Linked DNA regions of Sus scrofa. The protein of the gene in region 1 purifies or fractionates together with the protein of each later gene. This does not show direct contact. Links are inferred from orthologs where the notes say so. Each region holds a gene or a part of one and is shown on either strand. Other genes may lie near its edges.

Evidence for each region. Proteins that work in one complex are often made in the same cells at the same time.
Region 2: the proteins of HDAC6 (region 1) and ACTB purify together in Homo sapiens (affinity purification with mass spectrometry; 3 studies listed by BioGRID, with this or other methods). This does not show direct contact. The link is inferred for Sus scrofa from reciprocal best matches to the Homo sapiens genes HDAC6 and ACTB.

Annotation. Positions count from the first base shown.
Region 1 is NC_010461.5:42,931,713-42,935,253, forward strand, and holds part of HDAC6 (histone deacetylase 6), read left to right. Parts: intron 1-224; coding exon 225-351; intron 352-447; coding exon 448-513; intron 514-603; coding exon 604-663; intron 664-733; coding exon 734-823; intron 824-1,406; coding exon 1,407-1,513; intron 1,514-1,602; coding exon 1,603-1,670; intron 1,671-1,878; coding exon 1,879-2,044; intron 2,045-2,160; coding exon 2,161-2,289; intron 2,290-2,461; coding exon 2,462-2,630; intron 2,631-2,967; coding exon 2,968-3,101; intron 3,102-3,541.
Region 2 is NC_010445.4:4,087,554-4,091,775, reverse strand, and holds the start of ACTB (actin, cytoplasmic 1), read left to right. Parts: upstream 1-1,392; 5' UTR 1,393-1,517; intron 1,518-2,230; 5' UTR 2,231-2,236; coding exon 2,237-2,359; intron 2,360-2,491; coding exon 2,492-2,731; intron 2,732-3,178; coding exon 3,179-3,617; intron 3,618-3,715; coding exon 3,716-3,897; intron 3,898-4,027; coding exon 4,028-4,171; 3' UTR 4,172-4,178; exon of another isoform or gene 4,179-4,222. UniProt on the Homo sapiens protein: Actin is a highly conserved protein that polymerizes to produce filaments that form cross-linked networks in the cytoplasm of cells.

The DNA of each region.
Region 1 (3,541 bases):
ATTGCTGCAGCCTCAGCATAGGTTACAGGTGCAACTCGAATTCAATCCTTGGCCCATATGCCATAGGTGCGGCCATAAAAATTAAAAAAAAAAAAGAATTAGTGGGGGAACTAAGGAGAGAATGAAAGAGTAATTGAGTAATCTGTGGTAACTATGGGTTGGGGGTTTTTGGGGAGACTGACTCTCTCCTCAACCCCTTCCTCTTCTTTTTTCTCTGCCTCCAGCGTCCTCTATTTCTCCATCCACCGCTATGAGCAGGGTCGGTTCTGGCCCCACCTTAAGGCCTCTAATTGGTCCACCACGGGTTTTGGCCAAGGCCAGGGATACACCATCAATGTGCCTTGGAACCAGGTCAATGTCCGCCCACCCTTTGCCCCCAACGTGAGGCCCACCCCGGCCTTTCAAGGTAGACAGCAGGACATCCCCATCATGCCTCCCTGTCCGCAGGTGGGGATGCGAGATGCCGACTACATTGCTGCTTTCCTGCACCTCCTGCTGCCAGTCGCCCTTGAGGTCCTGAGGGGCAGGGGTGTGTTGGGGCAGGGTATGTTGAGGGATGGGCCGTGAAGGCAGGTGGCCTCATGTGGTCCCTTCCCCCTGCAGTTCCAGCCCCAGCTGGTCCTGGTAGCCGCTGGCTTTGATGCCCTCCAAGGGGACCCCAAGGTAAGGCTGGCTCACTGGGATGGTGTGGGGAGCAGAAGGGGACCACGCTGACCCTCCACGTCCCCCGTAGGGTGAGATGGCCGCCACTCCGGCAGGGTTCGCCCAGCTAACTCATCTGCTCATGGGTCTGGCAGGAGGCAAGTTGATCCTCTCACTGGAGGTGAGTGACCCACTACGGCTCTCAGCCTGTGGAACCTGGAAGACAGAAGAACAACTTGCCAGGAGTTCCTGTCGTGGCACAGTGGTTAACGAATCTGACTGGGAACCATGAGGTGGCGGGTTCGATCCCTGAGTTAAGTGGGTTAAGGATCCCACGTTGCCATGAGCTGTGGTGCAGGTTGCAGATGCGGCTCGGATCCCACGTCGTAGCTGTGGTGTAGGCTGGCGGCTACAGCTCTGATTCGACCCCTAGCCTGGGAACCTCCATATGCCACACGTGTGGCCCTAGAAAAAGAAAAAAAAAGAAAAAAGAACAACTTGCCAGCCCAGCAGGTGTTTCTGTCCCATCATTTCCCCTCCCTAGCTGGGCAGCCTCACCTGTCACTCACCTTGCCTTGGGCCTCCATCTTCCTTAGGTAAAACAGGCATCATAATAGTGGTTACCTCATAGTGCTGTGCAGCCAGTGACACAAAGTCAGCCTTCAGAGCCTTGTTGCTTGACATGTAGTCAGCAACCCACTGTTACTACTCGCACCCACTAATGTCTGCTTCTTCGCTGACAGCCCTCACATTCCCCCTCCTAGGGCGGCTACAACCTCCGCTCCCTGGCTGAGGGCGTCAGTGCCTCACTCCACACCCTTCTGGGAGACCCTTGTCCCTTGCTGGAGTTCCCGGGCGCCCCCTGTCCCAGGTGAGCCCAGGTGGAGAAGGGGAGAAGCAGGACCCTCACTGCCCCACTCAGGGGCCCGTGGGTCACGTTGCCCTCCCCTTGCCCTCCAGTGCCCAGGCGTCACTATCCTGTGCTCTGGAAGCCCTTGAGCCCTTCTGGGAGGTCCTTGTGAGATCTGGTAGGAGGTGTGGAGGGTGCTGGGTGGGGGGGAGTTGGATGGGGGAATGAGCAGTGGGAGGTCCCTTGGTGGAGGTCCCTTCTCTCTCAGTGGGCCCTGGTTCCAGGCCTCGCCCCCTTTGGAGGTTTGGGTAAACTGAGTTCCAGAGTATTTGGAGAATCCAGGGTGGGGGGAGTAGGAGGAGGGTGACTGTGGCCTCCCCTTGCAGCTGAGACCCTGGAGGACGAGGACACCGTGGAGGGGGACCATGTGGAGGAGGAGGAGGAACCATGGCAGCCCCCTGAGCTACCGATGCTGGCGTGGCCGGTGCTGCAGGCTCGCACAGGGCTGGTCTACGACCAACAGATGATGGATCACTACAACTTATGGGACAGGTATGCAGTCAGAGAGCCAGGCGAAGTGGGGACATGGGGAGGGACCCTCCCAGGGAGGGACCCCCCCCTTCAAACACAAAGCCCCCTGCCTCAGGTTCCCCCCATCCCACCCCCAGCCACCACCCCGAGATGCCTCAGCGCATCCTGCGTATCATGCGCCGACTGGAGGAGCTGGGCCTCGCCGGGCGCTGCCTCGCTCTGCCCGCCCGTCCCGCCACGGATGCTGAGCTGCTTGCCTGCCACAGGTCGGACCCCGGCAGCTGGGGGTGGGGGTGTGGGATGGGCGTCCTGGGGGCTGGAGCCTGGGCTTGCCTCTCTGGTACACGGAGCTGCTGTGACACATGGGAGGGACACGGAGGGGACAGAGTTACCTGACCGTCCCCCCAAGTACCCCCCCACCCCCCACTGTGCCTCCAGTGCTGAATACGTGAGTCGCATCCGGGCCACGGAGAAGATGAGGACCCGGGAGCTGCACCGCGAGGGTGCCAACTATGACTCCATCTACATCTGCCCTGGCACCTTCGCCTGTGCGCAGCTGGCCGCGGGCGCCGCCTGCCGCCTGGTGGAGGCTGTGCTGGCAGGAGAGGTGCCTCCACTTTGGGGAGGGGACCTTAGGCTCCAGGAGAGGAAGTTCTGGGGGTGGGGGTGGGGGTGGGGGAAGAGGCAGCTCTGAGAATTTGGCCCGGCCTGAGAAAAGGGGGCGCTGGCAGCGGTCTGTGATGGGGAGGGGCCCCCAGCTCACCAGAGGCCTTGCTGGCGGGGGAGGCACCCCCAGGGAGGGATGGGGGCTCCAGGGCTGGGGCCCCCTAGCAGCTGGTGAAGTAATAGAGGGACCGGAGAGAGGAGAGAGGGGAGAGGAGAGAAAGGGAAGAGAAAGCGGTGAGGGTGCATGTTCTCATCTTTGCTCCCTGCCCCTTCCCCAGGTTTTGAATGGTATTGCCGTGGTGCGCCCCCCTGGACACCACGCAGAAAGGGACTCGGCTTGCGGTTTCTGCTTTTTCAATTCTGTGGCAGTAGCTGCTCGCCATGCTCAGGCCATCAGTGGGCATGCGCTGCGGTGAGGGCTCCCTGGCTCCCTCTCCCCCCACCCGGGGCTTACTCCTCAGGCCCGGCAGGGCTGCCCCCCGCCAAGTCACCCTGAAACACCCAAGGGCCCATCGCCCTGCGCTTTCAGAAAAGGACCAAGGATCTAGCCTTTCAGTGTTTTCCGGGATAGGACGCCAGACTCTGGCACCCAGATGCTTATAAAGCAGAATCCAGGGTCCCCTAAACCCAGAATTTCTGGCTGCTATGCCAACAGAACCTAGAGTGTCACGCCTTGCTGTGTCTCCCCTCCTTACTTCAAAAGACCCAGGATCCAGGAGTTCCCGTTGTGGTGCAGTGGAAATGAATCTTAACTAGTGAGATTGTGGGTTTGATCCTTGGTCTCGCTCAGTGGGTTGAGGATCCGGCGTTGCTGTGAGCTGTGGTGTAGGTCACAGATGCCTGCTCGGATCC
Region 2 (4,222 bases), on another chromosome or scaffold:
TAGCAAAGCCCTAGGCAGACCTGGAGACAGACGCCCGAGGGCAGGCCAGGGCCCCCACCTGGACCCCTCTGCCCTGTTTCCTTTGTGGGAAAATTCAGCTTGTCACGGCCTCGGAGAAGGTGCACCTCCACGCTGCCCCGCTGGGCTTCCTTCGGCCACTCACTGCCCACTGGTGGCCCCCGCCTGGGTGCAGGCTCTCCCTGCTGGACAGGCAGTTCCCAGAGCAGGGAACCACTGGGAACACCCGGGGGCACCCAGGTCTGACCCCGTGTTTGGTGGAGAGACCAGGGCAGGAGTGGGCCCCAGCTGGTCCCTGCTGCCCCACCCCCCTCCCCCTAACTCCTCTCTGGCACATTGAATGTCCTTCCCCAGTCCTTGGTGGCCTCCAGATGGTCTAGGAGGGCAGTTCAGCTGTGGCTGCACGTGACAGACAGACGATGGATGGTGGGTCCCAGAGCTGTGCTCAGTGGCCCTGCCTGCCTGCAGCCAGCAGTGCTTGGCAGCTGCCTGGGTCGCCAGCTAATGGCCCAGGCTTGGCCTTGGCTGGGTGTGACCAGGCAGCCTCAGCCGCAGCCCAGCTCCATGGGAACAGCTTCTCTGCTCTACGGAGCCCACCTCTCCTGGGCCTGCAGCAAGGGAGGCCTGGAGCCCTCTTCACGGGGAACTTCCAGCCCCCAGCCCCTGGGGCCTGTCCTGTCCCTAGAGACTGCAGTCCTGAAGCCCCTGCTACGTGTCTCCAAGTCCCCTGACTCAAGCATGCCCCACCATAGCCCTCAAGCCCACGGTCTCTAAGTAATGTGCCCCCTTAGCAAGCTCAGCACCCCCACTTAGCAAGCTCAGCACCCCCAGTCGGGGCCCCCCCTTACCCAGGCTTTCTGGGCAGCAGAGCTAATGTCGCCAAGGGGAGGGTGACTCTCTCATCACTCCTTTCCCCCACCTGCTCCTTAAGCATGCACCCACAGCAACCAGGGACTCTCGCATCCGTGCTGACCCTTGCCCACAGGGGCGCTCACTGCTTTGGGGCATCCACATTCGGAGGGTGCCGGGGTGGGGAGACCCGGAGACCAGCAGGCCGGGTGCAGGCCTGGCCAAGCGGGGCCGGACCCGACACTGCTCAGGCGGGCGGCGGCCCACTGTTGGGGCCCAGCACCCAAGGGCGGCCGACGCCAAAACTCTCTCCCTCCTCTTCCTCAATCTCGCTCTCGCTCTCTCCTAGCCAGTCCATCTCCCTCCCTCTTTCTTTTTTTTTTTTTTTCTTTTTTTTTTTTTTTGCAAAAGGAGGGGAGAGGGGGTAAAAAAATGCTGCACTGTGCGGCGAGGCCGGTGAGTGAGCGGCGCGGGGCCAATCAGCGCTCGCCGTTTCGAAAGTTGCCTTTTATGGCTCGAGCCGCCGCGACTGCGCCCCATAAAACCCGGCGGCGCGACGCACAGCCACAGCCGAGACCGCGTCCACTCCGCCAGCACAGGCCCCTCGCCCTTGCCGCTCCGCCTTCGCCGCCGGTCTACACCGCTACCAGGTAGGGTCCCCGCACCGGCCGGGCCGCTGATGCGCTGGGCCCGTGCCTCTTGTGGGCAGGTGGCCCCCTCCGCCCCGGCCCCGTGGACAGCCGGCCGGGTGCCGGGAATGGACTCATGCGCTCCTCGTTCGGGGCCCGGGCTGCGCTCGGGGAGCGCTCCCAGAGTGTTTCTTTGGGAGCCCTAGCGGCGGCGATTCTTTGTCCGAGCGGGCCGATCGCTCCGCCGGCGGGAGAGCAGTGCAGCCGGGCGGCGGGGCGGGTGGGTGGGCGCGGCGCGGTGGCCGAGCCGGGTGGGGGCTGGGACGCCAGTGCGCGTGCGTGTGCGCCGTAGGCCCAGGAGGCGAGGGCGGGGCGGGCGGCCGGAAGGGGTGGGGTCGCCGCGGCGCGAGAGCGCCTGCGCGCACTTCCTCGCGGAGCCACGGGCCGCCCCGGGTGTGGTCGCCGCGCGCCCGCCGAGTGGCGCTTTTTGGGCGGGGCGGGGCTGGCGCCCAGTGGGGAGGGGGCGGAGGCCTGGCTTCCTGCCGCGCGCCTCGGGGCCGCCTCCGACCAGCGTTTGCCTTTTATGGTAATAACGCGGCCGGCCGGCTTCCTTTGTCCCCAATCTGGGCGCGTGCCGGCGCCCCCTGGCGGCTCGAACGCGCGTCGCGCCGGAAGTGAGTAGGGCGGAGGCGGCCGCACCCGGCCTCCGGCTCACGGTCCTGCTGCCCCTGCAGTTCGCCATGGATGACGATATTGCTGCGCTCGTGGTCGACAACGGCTCCGGCATGTGCAAGGCCGGCTTTGCGGGCGACGATGCTCCCCGGGCCGTCTTCCCCTCCATCGTGGGGCGCCCCCGACACCAGGTAGGGCGCCGCCCTCGGGTCTGACTTGGTGGGTGGGGTCTTGGTAGCAGGTGGAGGGAAGGGGGAGGCTTTCTGCGTGGGGGCCGGTGGGGCCGGGCCCGGGCTGAAGGCGCCTCGCCCCTCCTTCCGCAGGGCGTGATGGTGGGCATGGGCCAGAAGGACTCCTACGTGGGGGACGAGGCCCAGAGCAAGAGAGGCATCCTGACCCTCAAGTACCCCATCGAGCACGGCATCGTCACCAACTGGGACGACATGGAGAAGATCTGGCACCACACCTTCTACAACGAGCTGCGTGTGGCCCCCGAGGAGCACCCCGTGCTGCTGACCGAGGCCCCCCTGAACCCCAAAGCCAACCGTGAGAAGATGACCCAGGTCAGTGGCCCACTGGGCTCTCTCGGGCGGCCGCCCCCTCCTCTCTTGCCCCTCTTTGCCACGCCCTTTCTCACTTGTTCTTTCTTCTGCCATTTTCCTAGGACTTTTCTTCTCTGACCTGAGTCTCCTTTGGAACTCTGCAGGTTCTATTTGCTTTTCCCCAGCTGGAGTCTTTCTCGTGTTTGCCTTTCTGACTAGGTGTTAAAAGCATAAGGTGCTGTGGGTGTATAGGTACTAACACTGGCTCGTGTGACAAAGCCGACGAGGCTGCCGTAAAGGGGCCTCGGAGTGTGTATCCCGTAGGTGCACAGTAGGTCTGACGTGACTCCCCGACCTGGGGTCCCCAGCACACTTAGCCGTGTTCCTTGCACTCTCTGCATGTCCCCAGTCCGGCCTGACTGCCCCCGGCGGCTTCCCGAGGGTGACAGCGTCCCTCCCTCCCTCCAGATCATGTTCGAGACCTTCAACACCCCAGCCATGTACGTGGCCATCCAGGCCGTGCTGTCCCTGTACGCCTCTGGCCGCACCACTGGCATCGTGATGGACTCCGGAGACGGGGTCACCCACACGGTGCCCATCTACGAGGGGTACGCCCTGCCCCACGCCATCCTGCGTCTGGACCTGGCTGGCCGGGACCTGACCGACTACCTCATGAAGATCCTGACGGAGCGGGGCTACAGCTTCACCACCACGGCCGAGCGGGAGATCGTGCGGGACATCAAGGAGAAGCTGTGCTACGTCGCCCTGGACTTCGAGCAGGAGATGGCCACTGCCGCGTCCTCCTCCTCCCTGGAGAAGAGCTACGAGCTGCCCGACGGCCAGGTCATCACCATCGGCAACGAGCGCTTCCGCTGCCCCGAGGCGCTCTTCCAGCCCTCCTTCCTGGGTGAGGACGCAGCCCTGGCCCTGCCTTCCCCCCGCCCCCCCTGGCTCACCCGGTGGTGGCCACAGCGGAAGCTCAGTCGGGCTTCTCTCCCCCCTCAGGCATGGAATCCTGCGGCATCCACGAAACTACCTTCAACTCCATCATGAAGTGCGACGTCGACATCCGCAAGGACCTCTACGCCAACACGGTGCTGTCGGGTGGCACCACCATGTACCCAGGCATCGCCGACAGGATGCAGAAGGAGATCACGGCCCTGGCGCCCAGCACGATGAAGATCAAGGTGAGTGCCCAGCCTGAGCTGGCCGGGTGCGGCCGGGCGGCGTGGGTGCCACGGCAGCCGCCGCGGAGCGGGTGCTCTGGGGACCAGGGCTCTGACCGCCACCCGCCTCACTGTCCCCTTCTCCTTCCAGATCATCGCGCCTCCAGAGCGCAAGTACTCCGTGTGGATCGGCGGCTCCATCCTGGCCTCGCTGTCCACCTTCCAGCAGATGTGGATCAGCAAGCAGGAGTACGACGAGTCCGGCCCCTCCATCGTCCACCGCAAATGCTTCTAGGCGGACTGTTAGTTGCATTCCACCTTTTTCTTGACAAAACCTAACTTGCGC